5 linked regions of the Xenopus tropicalis genome follow. The protein of the gene in region 2 purifies or fractionates together with the protein of the main gene of each other region. This does not show direct contact. Links are inferred from orthologs where the notes say so. Each region holds a gene or a part of one and is shown on either strand. Other genes may lie near its edges.

The links.
Region 1: the proteins of bsg (region 2) and plasma membrane calcium-transporting ATPase 4 purify together in Homo sapiens (affinity purification with mass spectrometry; 3 studies listed by BioGRID and IntAct, counting the BioPlex papers as one, with this or other methods). This does not show direct contact. The link is inferred for Xenopus tropicalis from reciprocal best matches to the Homo sapiens genes BSG and ATP2B4.
Region 3: the proteins of bsg (region 2) and sympk purify together in Homo sapiens (co-immunoprecipitation; 3 studies listed by BioGRID and IntAct, counting the BioPlex papers as one, with this or other methods). This does not show direct contact. The link is inferred for Xenopus tropicalis from reciprocal best matches to the Homo sapiens genes BSG and SYMPK.
Region 4: the proteins of bsg (region 2) and ppia purify together in Homo sapiens (affinity purification with western blotting; 4 studies listed by BioGRID and IntAct, with this or other methods). This does not show direct contact. The link is inferred for Xenopus tropicalis from reciprocal best matches to the Homo sapiens genes BSG and PPIA.
Region 5: the proteins of bsg (region 2) and vdac1 purify together in Homo sapiens (affinity purification with mass spectrometry; 3 studies listed by BioGRID, with this or other methods). This does not show direct contact. The link is inferred for Xenopus tropicalis from reciprocal best matches to the Homo sapiens genes BSG and VDAC1.

The regions. Positions count from the first base shown.
Region 1 is NC_030678.2:70,209,723-70,213,781, reverse strand, and holds part of plasma membrane calcium-transporting ATPase 4, read left to right. Parts: intron 1-959; coding exon 960-1,067; intron 1,068-1,613; coding exon 1,614-1,796; intron 1,797-4,059. UniProt on the Homo sapiens protein: Calcium/calmodulin-regulated and magnesium-dependent enzyme that catalyzes the hydrolysis of ATP coupled with the transport of calcium out of the cell. By regulating sperm cell calcium homeostasis, may play a role in sperm motility.
Region 2 is NC_030677.2:105,652,660-105,657,435, forward strand, and holds the start of bsg (basigin precursor), read left to right. Parts: upstream 1-1,730; 5' UTR 1,731-1,761; coding exon 1,762-1,831; intron 1,832-4,776.
Region 3 is NC_030684.2:70,980,361-70,985,215, forward strand, and holds the start of sympk (symplekin), read left to right. Parts: upstream 1-1,752; 5' UTR 1,753-1,834; intron 1,835-1,838; exon of another isoform or gene 1,839-1,907; intron 1,908-2,035; exon of another isoform or gene 2,036-2,262; intron 2,263-2,529; 5' UTR 2,530-2,535; coding exon 2,536-2,610; intron 2,611-4,855. UniProt on the Homo sapiens protein: Scaffold protein that functions as a component of a multimolecular complex involved in histone mRNA 3'-end processing. Specific component of the tight junction (TJ) plaque, but might not be an exclusively junctional component. May have a house-keeping rule.
Region 4 is NC_030679.2:126,270,616-126,275,250, forward strand, and holds the start of ppia (peptidylprolyl isomerase A (cyclophilin A)), read right to left. Parts: upstream 3,041-4,635; 5' UTR 2,958-3,040; coding exon 2,889-2,957; intron 1-2,888. UniProt on the Homo sapiens protein: Catalyzes the cis-trans isomerization of proline imidic peptide bonds in oligopeptides.
Region 5 is NC_030679.2:22,883,534-22,887,592, reverse strand, and holds part of vdac1 (voltage-dependent anion-selective channel protein 1), read right to left. Parts: intron 2,033-4,059; 5' UTR 2,030-2,032; coding exon 1,963-2,029; intron 1,275-1,962; coding exon 1,225-1,274; intron 389-1,224; coding exon 236-388; intron 146-235; coding exon 93-145; intron 1-92. UniProt on the Homo sapiens protein: Non-selective voltage-gated ion channel that mediates the transport of anions and cations through the mitochondrion outer membrane and plasma membrane.

The sequences.
Region 1 (4,059 bases), on a different chromosome or scaffold from region 2:
GAATATTACAATATTTTATGGTGATTGTTTTTTTTTTTTTAAAGAAAAAAATCACCCCTTTCTTTAAATCCCTATTGGATTTTTAGACAAGTATTTATCAATGGGTAAAAGTTGGAGTTTACCATTTTATAAATATGCTTTTAAAATGCCATAAAACTAATAGAAATGGGGGGGGGGTTCTGTCATTAGCTTACTATTTTTATATAACAAAGCTTTTAAACATGTATTTGATTAGATTATGATCCCGCAACTTGAAAGACTGAAGAAAGGTCTACTCTACAAGAAAAAATATGATTACTTTGAACAAACTAAATGTAGTGGATTGCTTGTGTTTAGTCAGTTAAGGGGATATTCAGGTTTTTAAGCCATATTCTTAAACAACCATTTGTTTCATATAAATCAAATTTTTAATTTATTATCGTTGAAAATATGTATCGTTTTTAGTTAGACGCCTAGTTATTTAGCGAATCAAAGTGAAACAGTCCTACAGGTGCGGATGCTCTCTACGAAGTTCGGAATATTGCAGCACAATTAGACGACAGTGCGCAAGAGCTTCCTTTTTATGGTCATTTGCATATCAGTGACCTGATTTGCAGTTGTTAGCAGCTACTTGGATAAAGGACATGCATATAAACATGAAGAAAGAGGGTTATGTGCAACATTGCCGCAACATTGGGCTACAGATTTACAGCATTCTGAATAACCAACAGGAGGCAGAGGAGTGCTGACACAGCCAGGGTGTCAACAATCCCATGCAGAGTTGGTTTGAAGAAATACTATGGGACTACGTATGTTTTTAATGACAGAACTTTGCAAATATGTTTTACATAAAGAAACTGATTGTTTAACATTGTGTCTTGTAAAGGTGACATCCCCTTTAAGTTTTTTATTTACACACAATACTTACTACTCTGCAAACAAATGTTTTGTTCCCTAACTCTTTATATCTTTTCCTTTAGATAATAATTGTGGAGTTTGGAGGAAAGCCATTCAGTTGCTCTGGCCTTACTTTGTCACAGTGGTTCTGGTGTATCTTCATTGGGGTTGGAGAGCTGTTGTGGGGACAGGTTGGTGTGTCTCTAATGTGTTTTTGTAGCATGCCATTCCATGCCAGGTACCACTACATCATATAGCGGCATTCTTGACGTGTGGCATTTTTGACATGTGCTTCCTAGTGTGGGGAGGGCCCATTCCTGTTTAAACAGTATAAAAGCATTATGTGAAAAGTAAGGTCTATACAGAAGTGGTTTGCTGAAATGGAGTGGAGGATCTTAACTGGCCTGCACAGACCCTTAACCCAAGAGGACACAGGTGGGATGAAATAGAATGGAATGGAAATTAAAGCTCAGCCTGGTAACTGAACATTGCAGCTCAGCCACTTACATTTAAATCTCCACCAAGAGCAATGGTTAAAGTTTCTTTTGACAGCAAAGAGAGGACCAATTTCTTATTAATACCCTTTGTTTTGTATTGGATGTTGGACTGTTGGGTGTCCACATACATTTGACGATATAGTATACCCTCATATCATTCATAACTTTTAATACAGCTTTTTATTTGCGCCTTCTTTTTTTTTTCTCTGCTTACTATATATAATTTCCTTAATACTACAGATGATTTGCACAATACCCACCAGCCGACTCAAGTTCCTAAAAGAGGCTGGCCATGGGCCACTGAAGGAGGACATTCAGCAGGAGGAACTTACAGAGGATGTAGATGAGATTGACCATGCAGAAATGGAGCTTAGGAGAGGCCAGATTTTGTGGTTCAGAGGCCTAAACCGAATACAGACTCAGGTATATACATTTTATGACCTATGCCTTTGTGAAGTCCATGGTATAAAAAGATAGACATAACATGGAAAATAGGAGATCTCACAAACATTGATGGAGGAATTTCTACATAAACCAAATATTGTGAAAACCCTACTACACCTTGTATATTAGTAGCCACCCCTAAATTATTAAATGTTGCAGAACAAAGTTGTTACAACTCCAATATATTCACAAAACCCACAGACAGGGAAGAACCACATGATACAAAATATTTAGAATATGCTATCTTTATATATTACCTTTTATTATTGTATTTTATTGTGGGAAGTACATTTTACCCCTATCTGACGATTTAGTGCTAAAATGCTTGCCTTTGCTCGGGCGCCTTTGAAGGCTTGATCTTTGAGACAACCGATATTCAAATCCTTTGCCAATATTGATAACCTCGTCTTCTGCCATACACACACCAAATATTGTAAGAAACAAAATATTGGTGCATGTATGGCTACCTTTAGAAAATGAAATAAAAGATCTGAATGGTTGCTATGGGCAACATCACTGGTGACTCCAATGTTAGTACACACTCAATTGTCAATTGCTTCCACCAGCAAACTTGATATCCAAGATATCTACATTAATGTTCGTATATATTTATCTGAGCCATCAGTCTTATATAGCCTGTCCGCAAACAAGCAAGCTTCATCCCAAGAAAGAAGATATGTTATTAATTGAGCCTTCACTTATTGCCCTATTTTCATTGTTTGGGCAACATAAATCTGAATGTAAATCTGTTTAAAAAAAATTCAACATATCCATGTTAACAATCTATTTCAGTATCATTAAAAAAAGTAGCTTTTGGCAGAGAGCCCATAAAGTTAACAAGCCACACTTGATCTTAGATACAGTTGTAAATAATAAGCTTAACAAGTCTCTTGGGGAAACTGAGACTTGCAGCTCAAAGGGCAATTTCACCTTTTTTAGCAAAACTGTAATATCACAAAACAAGACCACAAAACCCCCAGAAATGAGTTCAAACTTTAAAAAACCTGCCAAATTTTGTAAAATGCGAGTGGTATTTAGGCTGTGTGGGTGCAAAAATTAGCGTTGTCAAAACATTTTTGCCACGCTGCAAGCAGCATTTCCTTTTGTCCTTCTTTGCATTTTTTAAATGTTGGGAGGTATGAGTATTATGTCCTTTAAAAAAGAAAAGATCAAATTAAGATATTTCAGCAAATACTTGTGGTGTAGTATTTATACTTACACAAATCCCTAAAAGTACTTTTGCCACTTGAAAACAAAATAAATTGTCCTGGATCTTTTCTACAGATGCAGAAACATCCACACTTATCTGGTCAGACCAAACATTGCTTTTTTTGTGGTGTTTCTCAAAATGTGGTGTTTCTCAGTCTTTTTCTCATACCCTTTTTGTTTTATGTGAAATTTTTGCAATCAGTGTTTCTGTTTCCTGGGACTTCAGTCAGTGTGTGTGGAACACACTAATTACATCTGCACCTGTAAGTCACTGGTTTAAAAATGTGTTTTGGCTTTTTTTAACTCCTTACATTGTAAATGAATATGTACACATTGCCTTCAGATGCCTTATTTTAAAGGAAAATGGTTGCTTCTTAAAGCATTTTTTCCTGAATAGATATGTTGTAGATCTATTTCAGCTGACTAAATGAGGGAGTGTGTCATTTAATGGGAAATGCTTTATTCTAAAAGCTATTAGGGTTTAAAGTAGTATTTTTGTCAATATGCAGCTGCTTACTGTACTATGTCTTACCAGTTTAACCAGGAAGATCTTTTTTACAGGCTTTGGGAAAATAGCTACACAAGATTTGATTTTTTGATAAGAACTTGGTGCTGGGAAATGGAATTACTTTTGAATTAGCATCTGCAGAAAAAAACATACCTCATATTATCTGGAAGAGCTATTTGCTTTTTCTTTAAATAGGAGCAATTTAATGTCATTTTAATGTTTTTAGGGTGTAATAGTTTGCCATAAACATCTCAGATTAATGGAGTTGGCTGTAGACTTTTGTTTAAGCCCTCCAACGGGATGGATCAGCTTTTTATTAACCTTCAGTCATTTCACTGTTCAATAAAATTGGGTTAAACTTTCATCTTGAAAACTCTGTTGTTAAAATGAATAACATGTTTTCCTTCTGTGATCTGCTTTTCTAATAACATTTGTTTCTATTCCAAAGTGCTGTTTTTCTTTCCCTTGAACGTACCTGTTACAACCATTATTTATTTCTCTACTACTATTTTTTTCTTTTCTTCC
Region 2 (4,776 bases):
TGTCAACATTTCTAGAGGGTTACATTACATTAATCCTAAAGGCCTACAGCTGTACAACCCTGATAAGGAAAAAATATCACGTGCACACCAAGGCCTCTATGTACTGTATGCTTGGTGCTCAGTTTATCAGTAGCTGACATTCCCCCCCAAAGAATCACTCAAAAGTAAGGCTACTGTCACACAAAGCTAATCCGAGGGAGTCTAGCCCTTAAATGTATATTAAATAAGCTATACAGTCCTGCCATGGAGAATCAGATGTCCAGCAGGGAGCAACACAGTTAAAAGTTTGCAATGTCTGAAATATATAGTCAGGGACAGCTTTTGAAATACAGTAAATAAGTATGCTTAAAAATTAATATATCTGGAGGCATATCATGATCCTGGGTCCTTTAACAAAAAATAATTTTAAGCCCTCTCCACCCTGCAAATGATCCTAAGAAGGAACAGTTTTCCCTGGCCTCCCCACAGCTGTGGGAAATTCACCCCAATAATTATATCACTGCAATATACGCTTAATGTTTTTATTGCACCTGGTGCACATTTTTTTGTACAGGCTGCCTTCTATCCTATTGCTAGGCATACACATGCCAATATTGCCACTCCTGACCAAGTCTACAGCATAATGGCTGCAACAGCCACCCCAGCTGTGATTTGACTGGAGTTTTAAAACCACTTGGCCCACCACATAGGAAAGGTATCTGCTTGTTTCGCAAATATGTCTTTATTTAGCTGTTTATTTTCTTTGGACTGCCAGAAATTACTCCCTACAATGTAGCAAAAGCTAACTGATTAACAGTTAGCAGGCCTATAATAAAGAACTAGTTTTATGGGGGTGTAATAATAAGTGAAACTCAAACAAATACAGTATATAAAGTTCATATTTGGCTTTAATTTATGGGGCCAGCCTCTAATAACTATTATCAATTTGCCTAAGTGGAGATATTTTAAACTCCCGACCTCTAGTGCCCTTGGGAGGGCAGAAACATGCACCTGTTCTTATAAAGCAACAATACCAAAAATGTGTCACGCAATAAAGACCTTAAAATGTGCGTCCTAAACCCACGTTCAAAGTGCATAATGCATGTGATAATTTAAGGCTCTAACAAGAGAATCTTTCAACTCAGGATAGACTAGAAAAAAATATAATAACACTGAAGTGCTGAGGGCGTGGCCGCCATTTTGGTGAGAACGCTTCCGCAACGACATTCGTGTGTACGTGCTTAGCTTGTGGTATACAGCCCTGTTATTACACTGTTTCTGTGTCACCATCCTATTTAACTCAATCACGCCCTAGAATATTATGGTTACACATAATAATGATGAAACCATAACTAGATTATATAAACATATAACATGGTATAAGGGGGCCCATATATCATAATTTATATCTAATTTGCAACAGATAAATAACTATAAAACTGAAATCTATCACTTGGAAAACCGCAAACCCCAAATCGCTATTTTCATTACCAACTATCCCTATAATACAGCTGATGGCAAGGCAAGCGGCAGACCTCTAGGTAAAGAAGGACTACATTTCCCAGAACTTGCCAGTAGAAATTGTAGTTCATTGACTGCTGACAATTTTAATTGGTGGCCTTCGTATTCTACGGCATAGGAAAACGCGAAAGCGAGGCGTGGGAAGCATGAAGCCACGCCTCCCAGGCGGCAATAAATGATCGTGTGATTCTAGGAGGTGTTAGTTGGCTGGGAGACATAGCTGCGAGGTGATTGAAGGTCTTGCTGATAGACGGCAGGAACATGGGGCTCGGGCTGCTTCTGCTGCCCGCGGTGCTGGCGTTGTTATGTGGGAGAGAAGCTGAGTGTACAGGTAATAAAAAGAACATCGGGGATGCCTGGATAAGCGAGACTATTAGAGAAGCCTTTGGGCACTAGCAATAGTTTGCCCTGCCATGATCCCGTTTTAGGGTTTGCTGTGTAAGGTTGTGTGGGGTATCCGCAGTCGGAGTAGAGGGTGGGGAAGGACGTGGTACAATTGAAGGGCGCCCTGAAGATCTGTTTCATCTGATCAGTTATTTCTGAGGGGGACCTAATTTTTTATTGCTGTAATGGGCTCTTGGCTGACAAAGTGGAAATCTGTTGTGCCAGATACTAAACCATGTGATGGGGTCTCTTATAGGCTGGGGAAAACCGGTATTGGCCTAGTCCGCCTCTAGTAGTGTCTGCGCCATGATTAAGGTACTTCGCTCGCCTAGGTTTTTTTTTTTTTTTTTTTTTTTCGAACACTGGGTTGTTCTTGATTCTTGTCATAGGCACATAATTTGCTTACGAATTAAAAATGCTACGAGTATAGATAGAAATAGATACTATTATATGTATAGATGAGGGACTAATTATATATATATATATATATATATATATATATATATATATATATTAAAAATTTTCATGAAAAGAGGGTATACTGATCTTTCAAGGTAAGGCTTGGAAATGGCTACTTAATAGCTGACATAAATGCTGTTTGAGCTAAATGTATTTGCCTTGTAAAGCATGCAGCTCTAGTCTTTATATTGGTGGTTCCTGAACCAGAAATGTCTAACAAGTCACTTGTATTAGTGTTTCTAGTCTTGTGTTAATTACTAAACACGTTAATGGAATTGATGGTTCCGTTTTACATTTGGCTCTTTTTTTAGTTGGTATTGGTGATTTATTTTGCTTGGTTTTGTAACTCTGCCTTATGGTATTGATAAAGTGCATAATTGCAACTTGTATCAAAGCCAATAAATGAACATGTATTAAATAAGCACCAACATTTTGAGTATATTTGTAACTGTACATGCTTTGTATATTCTACATTGTACCTGAAAGTTGGAGATGTGTAACTTTACTGCAAGTTATGCTTGTTGGTTGTAATCCTTATCGGTATGATCCCTTGTGGTTTTGTGGGGTAGGTACTGATCCCTTTTTGTGCCCTACATTCTTTCTGCAGCTGTGATGGCACATTTAACTCACTAATGGCCACCTATGTGACTGCATGCTGTGGCTGGCGGCTGGCACTTGCAATGTACATGTTTTAAATGGAAATCAGCCATACATTTAAGGTCCCCATACACGGTAAGATCCGCTCGCTTGGCGAGATCGCCAAGCGAGCGGATTTTCCCCCGATATCCCCACCTACGGGTGGGCGATATCGGGGAGCTTGAAGTTAAAAAAAAAAAATAATAATAATAATCCAATCGTTTGGTCCTGGGGCCAAACGACCGGATTATGTAGGCGGCAATGGGGCAGTCGGTTCGGGGACCGCATCAACGAGCCGATGCGGTCCCCGATCCGACTGGATTTTCTAACCTGGCCGATCAATATCTGGCCAATTTCGGGCCAGATATCGGTCGGCCAGCCCACTCGTTTCTGCCCCTACACGGGCTGATAAGCTGCCGAGTCGGTGCCAAGCTTGGCATTTAGGGTGAATACACATGGAGCTAATAGTAGCACCTACTTGTCACAGCTAAAAAAAGACAATGCTGATCATTTACTGATAACTGTATGTTTGTCTGTGTGTTTTTATCAGAGGCAATATTCAGTATTGTCTATGGCAGGCTATTTTGTGGCATTTAGTTGCCTTGACAAGTCACTGCTACAAAGTCGCTCTGTCTTCACCCTTAGGGCAGTGACAGACGGGGAGATCAGTTGCCCCGTGACAAATCTCCCCACAATGCCATCCCACTGGCAAGAATGTAAATCACCGGTGGGATGGCATAGGCATCAGTACGATTTCCAGAAGTTGCTTGAAAGTTGCCCTGAGAGGAAACTTCAGGTGACTTCTGGAAATCTCCCCGTCTGTCACTGCCCTTAGGATGAAGACACGCTGAACTACTAGTAGCAGCTAATTTTTTTTAATGGCTACTAAGCTCCCTAAAATACCCTGCCATACACCATACTGAGAATTGCCTCTGCTAACACAGACAATTATCTGTAAATTATTAGCATTGTCTGTTTTAGTAGCCATGACAAGTAGCTGCTACTAGTAGCTCAGTGTGTCTTTGCACTTAACCCTACCAGGCAGGAGATGGCTTAAATGATATAACAGAACATTGTAATAACTGGGATGGATTTTTCCAAGAAATGCAATATAAGGACTTGATACAAACCTTTTTAGGGCTTTTCTACCTAAGCAAGAAATGACGTTCATTACAAGGCGAATGTCCCCAGAGACTGTTAACACTGAACAGCCTTTGGTTCAGAATAAAATTTGCCATTTTCTCAAATTGGGTGAAAATGGTGATTTTTATCACAGGAATGGTTTAACAGCATTGTTCGTTTGTTCAGGAGCTTATTTGATGGGCCATAGAGTTGCAGTTGTTCTCGCTTCCACACCTGCTGATGCCAAATCAGGTTTTAGCAGATAAGCATTTTAGGTGTGACATATTACAAAATGTCTTGTAAAAACTGCTTTTCCAAGGTGTCATACTGGCTTAGATGGTTGTTGTATGGAAAATGGCAGTGTGGTATGATCCGGTTCTAGAAGAGGCTCAGTGTGATTTGTTTTGTACTAATGGTAGTGGTCACTGATCATTCCTTCAGAAAATATATAACAATTGTCACATGAACTGTGCAATATTTTTTTGTTCTATAAACGTACAATATAAACATTGCACTTGGTGTTTTAGGTTATAGTGGTTTGTGTTTGCAGGTAATTTGTAATGTGTGATGTGCTGGTTTACCCTAAGGTCGGGTAGTGGACTACCATTGCAAGGTTGGGTGCAGGTCAGACTGGGAGAAGTACATTATTCCTCTGCTCCTGTAGTTTCTTGGCAC
Region 3 (4,855 bases), on a different chromosome or scaffold from region 2:
TATAGCACTAACAGAATATACCTTTTTATCATCATGGTGGGCTCCTTCATTATCTTGGATGGATAATGAACACCCAGAAATCCCCCAGGAGAAAAATTCAGTTTCTGGGATTTGTGATAAATTCCCAGAGAAATAGGTTTAGGGTTGAAATTTGAACAACCATTGCAGGTTTGTGTTTGGTGCAGGTCAGACTAGGGAAGTACACTATTCCTCTGCACCCAGTGTTTCTCTGTCTTGGAACCTAAGGCATGCACAGAAGTAGTGTTCATACCAGAAAGGTATGGGTCCAACTATGGCAACATTTTGTGGGTTAGGTTCGGGTGTGGGTTAAGGTTTTTATCAATGATAAAAAAGTCTTTATTAATCCATCATCAAAAGCTGGTCATACACACTAAGATTCGCTTGTTTGGCAAGGTCCCCAAGTGAGCGGATCTTCTCCTGATATCCCCACCTATGGGTGGGCAATATCGAGCTAATTCGGCTGTTTGGCCCTGGAGAATGACGGGTATAGGCATCAACCGGTTCAGGGACCGTATCAACGAGCGGATGCGGTCCCCGATCCAACTAATTTTCAAACCTGCCTGATTGAGATCTGGGTGATTGCAGGCCAGATGCCGGTCGGGCAGGCCCAGCCAATAAGCTGCCGAATCAGTCTAAGGGATCGTTGTCGGCAGCCCGTGTATGGCCACCTTAAAACAGCATTTGCCAACCTTTTATACCAGTGAGCCACATTCAAATAGAAAAAGTTTTTGAAGGCGCCAATGAGAGCCATACAGACCGGTAGCTTTCAGTGACTTTTTGCGATTTTGGCAAATTGCCTCGCGAGGCAACTTCAGCGATTTGCCGAAATCGCCTGTGCAGCGTGTATCATCCCACCAGCGACTTACATGTTCGCCGGTGGGATGGTAGTTCGGGAAGATTAGTCGCGGGCGACTAATCTCCCCGTGTGCCAGAGCCCTTAAAGGAACAGTAACATCAAAAAATTAATGTTTTAAAGTAATTAAAATATAATGTGCTGTTGCTCTACAAAAAACTGGTGTTTTTGCTACAGAAAAGCTACTGTATAAATAAGCTGCTGTGTAGCCATGGGGGCAGCCATTCAAGCTGAAAAAAAGGCACAGGTTACATAGCAGATAACTAGTAGATAAGCCCCATATAATGGGGGTTTATCTGTTAGCTGCTATGTAACCTGTGCCTTTTCGCCTTTGAATGGCTGCCCCCACGGCTACACAGCAGTTTACTTATATAAACTATAGTAGTCTTCTGAAGCAAACACACCAGTTGTAGCAATGCAGGGCAATAGTACATTATATTGTAATTACTTTTATACACTTTCATTTTTTGGTGTTTCTGTTCCTTTAAGGTACAAAGACCTAAAAACGTGACTCAATTTCACCTGGCCCTAGTTTAAACAAAAGCAGTTTGTCTTTTGGTCAAATTGGGAGACACAGCTCTAACAGCCACATGTAGTTTTGCCAACAAGAATAAATGTCTTCTTTCAGTCCCCTGCCACAGGTCCGAGCTCTGAGCAGACAATATAAATGACATCTCAGGAAATATTTGAGCAGAGGCAGGGAGAGCAGGACGGAGAACCAAGATGAAATGAAGTTCTTTATTAGTTCTTTTCTATCAATAGTAGGAGGTGCGAGCAGCAGATAACATGTTGTGAACATGCCTACCACCGCTTTCCTGCAACTTCCGATTTTGTAACGTTGAGTTATGCCGTCCCTCTCCAAAAAGTCGGCTACGTAATGCGTCACCGCGCTTACGTGTAGTCCTGGCGCAAGTCTCGCGTGATGTGACTTGTGGGCCGGGATTTCCTGTAAGACAGGAGGTACGGAGTTTGCAAATAATAGCTTAGGGACCGGTAAATAGCGATCTAGGACTGTGGGCTGTTGGGAAAAGCGGTACTGTTGGGTAGTATGTTTAAATGTTGAATTAGAAAGAGTCGGGGAGTGCTAACGAAGTAGATATTGACAAATCCTCTGTATAAACCAATTATGGACTTTATGCTACAGTAACACAGTTCTCTTACCTTTGCCAGCCGCTAGTCATTGGAACTAATGTACGATTACCTCTGCTAGGGTCACTGTGCTGCTTCTTCTAGTACCTTTCAATTCAAAATCTTATTCGCTTTAGTTCTCTGTAATCCATTACCGGTAGTGGAGTGTACCAATAATGTTAGAAGGTGACATGGACCTTAATATTTATTGGGCGCCTATTTTGCAAAACTGTGGATCCTGCATACATGCAAAGCGTAACTGTAACACCACAACTGAATTCTGATAGGGCAGAAATTGTGTTACCAAAAAGGTTCCTTTTATACCTCCCCCTTCCTTTTGGTAAACGCAGCCTTTTATTTATATGTATCAATGTTGGCCTTATACTAAGGCTCTGGTTATTTGAATTTATCCTTACACCTGACACACACACAACATAAACATATCTGGGCTCCTTCTATTGGGTGCAAGTACACATGAACTGTTTTTATTTTTTTTAAACTAATTTCAATTTTTATCTTTATTTTAGTCACCCATGGCAGTCAGTATGGCATCCCAGTTCTTCTCCCAAGAGGAGGGGACATCAGAAGTTGTATCCACATCTGAGAGGGTAAGAGTGTACTGTACAAACTGGATGTATAACTGGAGATCTATTGGCGATGATATAATTTCATTTAAAGGGTTACAGTGATATATTGTTTTAGATTCTGGTACCTTGTGATTGGGAAGGGGTTGTTAACCTTTGAGTTAACTTTTATTATGCTGTAGAGAGTAATATTCCAAGACAGTTTGCAATTGGTCTTCATTTTCTATTATTTGTAGTTTTTTAATTATTTCAGTGTTTGTTCAGCAGCTCTCCAGTTTGATTTCAGCAGCTATCTGGTTGCTAGGGTCCAAATTACCTTAGCAACCAGGGAGTGGTTTGAATGAGAAACAGGAGTATGAATAGGACTTGAATAGAAAAATAAGTTATTAAAAGAAACAGTAAAATTGTAGCCTCACAGAGCAATAGTTTTCTGGCTGCTGGAGTCAGTGATCCCCATTTGAAAGCTACATGGAGTTAGAAGAAGCTCTGTAGAATACAATAGTGTTTTATCTGTTATCTGCTAAGTGCCTGTGCCTTTTCTCCTTTGAATGGCTGCCCCCATGGCTACACAGCTGCATTCTTTATATAAACCATAGTAGTGATTCTGAGGCAAACACAGTTTGTACCAGTGCAGAGCAGCAGTACATTATATTGGAATTTCTTTTATACACTTGAATTTTTTGGTTACTGTTCCTTTAAATGAGATCCTGGAATATGAATAGGAGAGGGACTGAATAGAAAGATAAGGGAAAAAAGTAGCAAGAATATTAAAACTGTGAGCTCACAAAGCAATAGTTTTTGGCTGTCGGTGTTAGCGACCACCATTTCAAAGCTGGAAAGATGTAGACATGGAAGGTAAATAATTTGAAAACGATAAAAAATGAAGACAAAGGAGCTCCTCATCTTGGATTTTGTTAGATGTGTATGTGACACATGTTAAGTGTGCTCTAGTCAGCTGTTAAAGAATGTTAACCTTTAAATGAATATGAAATTGATGAGAGCTTTAACCCCATTATCCACTTAGAGTGGGGCTACTTCTTAATTCCCCCCCCCCCTTTTTTTTTATTTTCTTCTCTTTTAAAGATAAATGCTGTTTAATACGAAATTGCTTTATTCTGACATCCACTCTATAAAAGTTAAAATGCAAATAAAAATTATTGAAAAGAAATTGATGAGAGCACTATTCTAAGCACTTTTGCACTTAGCATTCATTTTTTCCCCAAGATTTGAAGATATTAAGGAGAATGTGTACTGTTAATTTGAATTCATTTTGTAACAACAGCACTAGCTGCTGGTCTGTTTCCTCCTCTGATGTAGTCAAGGAAATTATTAGGTGAAAGATGGTCGAACATAACTTCTCTTACATCTTTCCAAACATCATCATTTTAATATAATCTGGTCCTCAAACATGAAAATGAGAAATTATTGGCCAACTACATTTAATAAATTAGACAGGACTGCTGTAGTAGAAATCACTGCATGGGCTTAGGACTGCTTCCTGAAAATGATTTTGTGTGAACATGGTTAGTCATTGCATCCACAAATACAAGTTAAATCTCTACCACGCAAAAAAGAAATCATAAATAAACTTGATCCAGAAAAACAGCAACTTTCTCTGGACCCAAGCTTATTTAAGATAAACTGAGTTGAAGTGGTGAAGGCTGATGTGATGTGTCCTGTGGTCTGATAAATCAAAATTTAAAATTCTTTTTGGAAATCATAGATGGTGATCATAAATGGTCCTTCTTTTGGGCTAAAGAGAAGGACAGCCCTGCTTGTTATAAGCACACAGTTTAAAATCCAGCATCCATGATGGTATGGGGGGTGCATTAGTGCACACAGAATGGGTAGTTTGCACATCTTGGAAATTATGTTGAAAGATATATGCAGGTTTTAGAGCAAACTATGCTGCTATTCCGATTATGTTTTTTTTTTTTAGGGAAGACCTTGCCTGTTCCAGCAAGACAATGCCAAACTGCATTCTGCATGTGTTACAACAGCAGTCTAACCCTGTCACCCACTGAAATTTTGCACAGTATGAAATAAAAAATACAACTGCTGAGCAGCTGAAATCCTATATCAGGCAGGGGTTGTTAATAGAAGAGGTGATGCAACACAGTGGGAAACATGCCCCAGTCTCAACCTTTTTAGAACTTGCTGCTGGCATTTAATTCAAAATGAATTTGTCATGTTTAATGGGTAAATCTTACAGCTAACCAGGAACACACTGTAGAATTTACCAGTAAACTCATATATAGGAAGGCTTGCA
Region 4 (4,635 bases), on a different chromosome or scaffold from region 2:
CTCCACCCTGGGAATAGTTGTGGGGATGCCATGGGGCTGAATGGTTTAAGACTGAATACCAGAGGCAGAATGACAGCTGTAGGCACCCATCACATGCCAGGCTGTAGCCCAGTGCCCAACGCAGACTTGTTTGATACTGTACAATAGACTGCATGCTAACCTTAGTCTTTTCTACTGTAGACCGTTTTCCCTTTATAGCAATACTTGAAATTCCATGATAATTTGACTAATTCCATTTAACATAGGCTTGCATTCCATAGGCCATTTAGGCTATAGAACATAAATGTGGCTGCTTGATAAAGAAACATGCCATTTGACTAGTAAAGGTAATATCCACAGACTCAGATGGACAAGGCAGACTGATTGCTACTCAGGTTAAGGCAGGGACCCCCAACCAGTGGCTCGGGAGCAACATGTTACCCACCAACCCTTTGGCTTTTGCTCCCAGTGGCCTCAAACAGGTGCTTATATTTGAATTCCTGGCTTGGAGGCAAATTTTGGTTGCAAACAGACCAGCCTGTAGGCTGCCAAATAGCCAATCACAGCCATAATTTGGTACCCCAGGTACATTTTTAATGCTTGTGTTGCTCCCCAACTTTCACATTTTAACCGTCTCACAGGTATAAAAGACTGGGGAGCCCTGGATTAAGGACACGCAGATTAGAAGGCTGGCCCTGGCATGACCTGACTGGGGAGTAGACACCACAGGGAAGTGCCGAATACAAAGATGCCTGGTTGCAGCACAGAACACATCTCCCACTTCCTGGCTATTTATGAAGTGTTGATCCCTTGCAGATGCCTTGAGACTTTATGAAGACAAACAATAAACTGCTGCCAAGAGTCCAAGCCTGACACCACTAGACGGATGGTTTGTAACTATATTGCACTGCTCGTCAGCATACAAACCTTAACCTGGCCATACATGCACAGTACTGACCGAGCCCCTTCTTGTATGGTCACTCACAGCACCCATCCGTATTACTGACCAGCACATGGCCATTTCTGGGGGATTGGGGGGGCGGCATTACCCAGGGCACATAACTACCTTCTGTTGTCCGATACCCCACTGTAGCTTTTATGCCCTTAATAATGCAGCATGGCATATGCAAGAGCATTAATATTTAACCATGAGAGGGGACAGGCATGCCAGGCAGTTCATTGTGCAAGATGTAATAAAGTTAAAGTGAACCTTATTACATCAGCAGGAGTCGTGCCCTTGCTTAGGCAGGAGACCAACGCATTTGGTGCAGTGTTGCTAGCCCTGCATACCAGTGTTAGAGGGGGAACCATGGCACAAAGATGGCAGGAAGGCAATGCCTATGCTTGATTATGGCAGACCACCACCACGTGAAGCAAAAAAAGGCTCATGCAGGGGAAGGATTAACATGACTGCAGAACTGAAAATGCCTTATATGGCTTCAGTTACGTCGCTATAAGTCTATAAATAGCAGATTTAACCCCTGTATGAAGCGCAGTAAGTGCATGCAGATTGGACACCCTGGGACAGAGAAACCCATGCAGCCACAGTTCTGTACATAGTAATATAAAGCATTTACCATCCCCTATATAGCCATCAGTATGCACTATATCTACCATATAACATACACACCATGTGGATTTGCTGGCTCAGGCACTGCAGTAAGAAAGGGAGAGGGGCCTGCATGCCACCAAGGGGACAGTAACCCTGACAGCACCTCACGTACTTGCCCCTCAGCTCCAATCCCTTTAGACACAAACCATGCAGAGCGACTACATCAGCTTTCCCCTGGCACCAATACACAATGGCATTACCCATGCACCCAACATGCACTGCTGGGGCCCCTAAAGCACTCCCTGCATTAGCCTGAGGGAACAATAAGCCCTCACTGACAGGCTTTGTGCATAAAGCCTTTAGGCCAGGCAGCAGGTGTATTTCCCACAGAGCGGTGTCTCCTCGCTAGGGCACGGCGTGATTAAAGCCCTTTGAATTCTACACTAAATATACCCGCCATGCCCACACCCCAGCAAGTGGGGCATCCCACAGGGCACACCTACCCCGCACTAACACAGGGCTGAGCAGCTCAGCAACCAAGCAGACATTTTGAGAACAAGAAATCTTCACATTACTTGATTTCTTCTAAAATGGATTCCTCCTCCCCCTCCATAGAAGTGACACACGGGAGGCGGGCTCTCCCAGCCAGCGAATAAAGGGCCTAGTATAGTAAGACCTAGCAACAGACATTCACTTGTACCATATTTACAGTAAATGATATATAGCCACCCTCAGCAGCCCCCAGCTCTTGCACCAACATGTGGCAGAACTACCCTCCCTGTACTTGCCTCCGCTAGGAATGCTGGGAGCTGTAGTCCGACCATTTTGCCCAATACGCTGCCCAGCGGATGTATCACAGCCATAACTATCAAACAGCGAATGAACTCGCTGCACAGCAGGACATGATACATTAGTGATACAGTTACATTGTCATTTTCTTTATATTAACGACTAGAAGGCGTCAAGTTACCCCCCCAACCAAGAGCCTAGTGTATCACGTGACACCGAGGAAACATGTATGCGGTAAGAATAACGCTGCAATACAGCCAGCAGATTCACCCGGGGCTGGGGGAGACGGCCAGACCCGCAGCGCAGTGACGCCCCCGCACCATGCAGCAAACAATGGAACCCCCCCCGGCCCATTCCATCGTGTTACAGTCATGTGACCGGCTCACCCCATCGCTCCAGCTAGCCCCAAGCACCCATGGGAGCCGCACTCACACACACAGGAACATGGCACACGCAAAGAAAGTGCAACCGGACTCTATCAAACCAGCAGTTTCTGACATTCTCACAAATGGCGCCAAGACTTAATGCCACCCCCCTCCCCCGACAGTAAAGAGTCTACTCTCATTACCTCCATGATAATACGGCCCATCGGGCAGCCATCAACGGCGATGTCGAAAAAGACCCTGGGTAAAGCCATAGTGCAGAATGAAAATAAACAGTGCCTTGCCGTGAGCGCAACGTGCAGCTTCCTAACCCCCTGAACTCTAAACAGCCCAAGAGAACCACGGAAAAGAGCTTAAAAACGGAAGCGGGGCTGATATTATATGAGAAGCTTGGCCCCGCCTGGCATCGTTTAAGGGAAACACACCAATAGAATGGTTCCATGGTACTGATTGACAGCGCGGCGGGCCAATAGTAGGCTGCAGGAGAGCTCATAAGGTGTGGCACAGAAGCGCGGGAGTCCTGGGCGCGGCCTGTAGAGGTGCGGTGAGGGCCGGTCCGGCTGTGACGCGGGGAGTGGCTGCCTTCGCTTTGGGCTATAACTCAGGGTTAACACTATTCAGCGGATAGGGTAATCCGGCATGCATTTGTGGCTTTATACGACATTGCTGGAAAGCGTTCTTCATAACGTATAGCTGATGAATGGCTAATAGTAAGTGTAATAGCTAGTTCTGGCAAGCCCTTCAACATACTTCTTTCTGTAGGTGCACTAAAAAAATTTGCAGCGTTGCAGTAAAGTGAGAGTGGACTGCAGCGAACCAAACCCGGTGTAATAGGGATTTTGAGTGTTTTTGTCGCCTGAGCGTTTTGTAACTCAGCTGTTACCTTCTGGAGCACTGAAACATTATTTTGCCCAGTCCTGCTCTTAAGGGCAAATGCCCATACCTGGTGCACTCTTACCTTCCAGTTTGTGCCTGTATGTTACCCAACCACTCAGATTGTAAGCTCTACGGGGCAGGGACCTCCTTCCTACTGTGTCTCATACCACATGGCACTTATATATATATAGATATAGATATATATATTTATTGTATTTATTTATTATATCACTTGTCCTCCCTGTGTGTAATTTTGTATTCTGTAAGACTGTACAGCGCTGCGTACCCTTGTGGCACTTTATAAATAAAGTTATACATACAATGGCGATACAGCATTATAAATTGCTTTCCATTAATTCGAGAGGCATTTGCCTGCTCAGTGCTGAGGTGATTACTGCTCCAAAGCGTCTCTTAGTTATAATTGCTTGAGCTTAATAAGAGGTAAACAAGGACAATGCTTAACTGCTTTGACGCCCATCTATAGAGCTACAAAATAGGGGACAAAACGTGCAGATGTGACCCATGTGGCGACCGTAAAATAAAGTGATAGGTGTGTTTATAAATGTAGAAGCCAGGTGGCCACCGGTGATTCCCATTGACATTGATGGTGTTTTGAAGCATTTCATTTTTTATCTTACCAGGAAAGCAAGACCTACTAAACCTACACGCAAACAACTAGGGGCAGATTTATTAGGACATGAACGCTCGGAGCGTATTTTCGCCGAGTTTTTCGTACGCTTGCGCGAAAAAATCAGAAAGGTTTTCCCGCTGTTTACAATCGTTCGGTATGAAAATTTAGTGACTTTCGGATCACCAATACAATATTATCATGACTAATACAATTTTTTCGTAAGCATTTTCGTGATATTTGCGATCTTCAGAAATTATAGTATCCAATCCGAATTTTTCTCATTCGGGATTCGAACGCTTGAATGGTCCCCCTAGGGTTGCCATATTTAATAATAATATACCTGCCTTTTCATCTGTATTTTTATGGGTTTTACAGTCAAGCATTGTTTTTAGCAGCCAGGGTGGTATAATACCAAGCTGGTGGCA
Region 5 (4,059 bases), on a different chromosome or scaffold from region 2:
ATGCTGGGTCCCCCAGCTACTAATTCATGCTCCCCTTGGAGGGCTGTATATAATTAAAAACTCTCAGTTATTTAAGTGCAGATTCTTCTTACCCTGTGTTAGGAGAAAATGAAGAGTCAAATGTCAGCTTCAGACCCTTTGCAAGCTAAAGAGAAAACATATTATGTATTTAAATTGTAAGACATATCTTACTCACAAGTTCCAGAGTTAAATTATCTCAAATTAGGATATTTACCTGGTCTTCTACAGTGATCTCTGTCCCTAATGTGTTATCTGTATTCCACTTTTCTGTGAAAGTAAGGCCATATTCTGCCCATTTGTATTTGGTTTCCAAGCTGCCAGCAACTTTGTTAGTCTCTGCATTCGCTGATCCTGAGCTTGTAAATTCCTGTAAGTCAGAGAAGTATACACACAATATTCTGTTACTGGAAGTTGTGTAATCATGGTTCCACATGGTGCAATCCTTTTTCTGTTCACTGACGCCTATCAAACGTGAAGTGACTTGATTCCTTCGCTTATAGTGGTACACAGAACTACATGTATTAGTTGCAATATATACAATAGTTGCAATATACTTTACCTGCTGCTAATAACAGAATTATGTTAAATATGTGTCAAAAACACCATGCAAGCAGGTAATATTAGAGAATGTTATGGAAAAGCACTAAGGCACAAGGTGAGGTAAACAACCTGAAATGATTTGTGATGTTTTAAGGGTGTAATAAGAAGCGGATGTGAAAGAACTAAGCAACAGGATGTTACCACAATCATGTGCTTGATATAAAAAAAACTGCTTTATCTTCTACTAAAATAATTTGCACTTGCATTTGTCCCCAATTACAGCAGAATGACAGCTTGGAAGAACAGCCTGTAGGAAAATTTACATGGATTATATAGAAAATATCACAAAACTGGAAACCACTGGCAATTGTTTGTTGCAATTTCTTGTGACTGTGGCTTTACAATAATACAGACACATGTACAAATAATGTACTGTGGAATTGTTTGTTTTAGGTTGATGAGTTTATTTTGAAAGTGCCATTCAATAATAAAATAAAATAAAAACTTACACAGCATTTTGTTCAGTAACAAATATGGAATTACAAACAGTATTATGCCCACTTACTAACTATAAAGAAGCTGTAGCAGAGACAATGTTTTGTTTAGGCAATATAGATACCACTCATATGCAAGAGTGTTGCCATGCAACCTATTTAGACTTACCAGTCCGTTTTCTGATTTCGTTTTCAAATCAAGTTTAATGAACCCAAATCCTAAAAGACAACAAAAACAGTAGAAACCAGAAGACTATAAAAACAGGCATAATCAATAGAAAAGTTACAAATTCACAGCAAAATACAACAGGATCATTCTTTGCAGTTTCAAAAAGCTGTAACTTTCTATCCTATGTGGTTAGTAACCCTCAGCAGCAAATTTTAAATAAAACCCCAAAAATGTTCTTTCACCTTGCAAAAACATTTTTGGGTAGACAACCCTTTTAAAGCTTAGGCTGAATTTAATCTAATAAAGCAACCTAACCTGCAAGGAAAGGTCAATGATACCTTCAGATTTAAATACAACCCTTTTTTGAATTTACAAAGAAAGCCAGCACTAAAACATTCGTAAAATTTTCTTCGGCAGTAATGCATTAAAAGAGATCTAAAGTCTCAAAATAATTTCTGCATTATACGAAAGTAGGCACAATTTATTCTGCAATGAGTATAAAGACAGGCTTGTATCATGGCACTGAGCATGTTAAAACTGGCTGCGCCAGAGTGATCTAGCCTGTTTTAACAGCCAGTCTCGCCCTAGGCTGAGGAATATAGATCAGCAGCAAGAATAAGCCAATCACAACAGAGAAACCATTCTTCTTTGTGAAAGCTCTGTTTGCTTCATTAACTATGGCTACACATCCATAACCCTTTAACCCTCACCCTGCCAGACTCTACTCTAGATACTTACCATATCCTTTAGTGAAGATGTCTCGGGCAGACTTTCCTAAATCAGCATATGCCGGAGGTATGGCCATTTTCTGTTGGCCAAAAAGAAAAAAAACATTCAGATAAATGAAATTTTTTTATTACAGGATAATACACAAGTTCCTTAATATGAAATATCTGTAGGCCTGTGCCAAAAAGGGTTAATTTTGGGATGGGAGAGCAAATTTGTTAGGCACCCCCCAGTGATTATAATCGCTTATATCAATTTTAGTGCACACTGTGCCTCCATCTTGCCTTCTGTGCCAGGGATCCCTTGCAGCTGCCATGGGCTCTGCACATGTGCTGTGAAGTTAAACTGGAACTTAGAGAGTAAGAGCTGAATCTTACTCTATAGAACATGGGTCCCCAACCCTTTTCACCCATGAGCCACATATAGATGCAAGATGTAAAGCAACACAAACATGGAAAACGTATCCCCTATGATGACTGGCAGCTTACACAAGGCTCTGTCTTGTAAGACACATGGGTTTTTATTCAACTGAAGCTTGCCTTCAAGCCAGGAATTAAAAAATGAGCACCTACTTTGCTGCCCTGGGACCAACATCCAAGAGGTTGGTGAGCAGCATGTCACTCCTGAGCCACTGGTTGGGGATCACTGCTATAGAGCATAAGCATGGGACAGTGCAGCTATAAGGCACAGGGATAGGAAACAAGATGGCAGCATTGCACACACTAGAAAAGTAAACTGGCCCTGTCTGCTTTTCAGCAAAATATAGTACCCCCAGTACTTAAGCCATTCTTTACAATTTAAACGATTACTGCTGAAACAATTGATGAGCAAAACATTATTTATCACTCAACTACACTGTAGATTTTCCACACCATGTCTCAGTTGCTGTATTGCTAAGCAGTATGGCAAAAGGGGCCACTTTTAACCCAGAGTTTATTCTAGGCTTTTTTCAAGCTGCTGCACACACGGCAGCATACGCTATACTTACAGAGCATTCAGTGCTGCATTACAGATGCAGGGAGTCACGTTTGCATTGCTATAATGAACTGCAAAGCATCATAAAACCAAAGTCATATGGAGATGATTCTCGGACAAGCCTAGCATATCCAAGCAGACTGTCAACACAGATTCATCATGCAAGCATGGCTGCCTGTGGCTGGGGCCATGTGGGTAATCTTAAACCTCTTATATTCTTCTGGTATAACCTAGATTATCCACACTGAGCACACTTACTCTCAAAATATATGTGGTTCTTTAAAGGTAAAATGATATTTACATAACGTTTTTTCAACAGTGGGCATTGTTAAAGGACCGGTAATATAAAAGATTAGAACGATTCATTTGAATTTACATTCAATTTTTTTATAATGCGTATAAATATAAAATTATGCTGGTTTAACTGCAGTGTGTTTGCTATCAGCTCTGCTATGTTTCATGTAAATTATGTGCCCTTATGTACAGCGCTACAGAATATGTTGCCACTTTATAAATGAATATAATAACGCATTCTCTAAATAAACAATAAACCCCCTCCTGGACTATTTAGTTCAGTAGCCTTAGCTCATTGATGCATGAGGCCAAACAAACTGATCATAACTAGGGCTTATGCAGACCCATTGGGAGAGACCTACATCCGTAAATTCCTTGTCTGATGGGTTCTTTAATCCAATATCCAGCCAGATATGGAAAAGGCGAGCAATTTGGCCATGTAAACAGCCAATAACCAGCAGTCTTTATAAGCCAAACTAGCAGCTAATATCAGCTGTGTGTGTATGCAATACCTTAGATGTTGGGGGACCAAACAAGTTTTTGCCAAAAGATAACATCCTTTTTTTTTTTTAAGACCTTTTTTTTTATGCAGGTATATAAAGAGTTCTGCTCCTTATTTTCTGTTCTTTCCTTGTTCCTCTAACCTATTTCTGTTATATGACTCCTATATGGCTTCCCTGCCAAAATTCTTATTTCTATTATTAACATGTATTTATAAAGTTCCAACACATTCCGCAGCACTGTACAATAAATGGATTCATACACCAGACATACAGAATTACAGAGAAAGCAACCAATACAAGAGGTAAAAAGGGCTGAACTAACAAATAAACCTTCCAT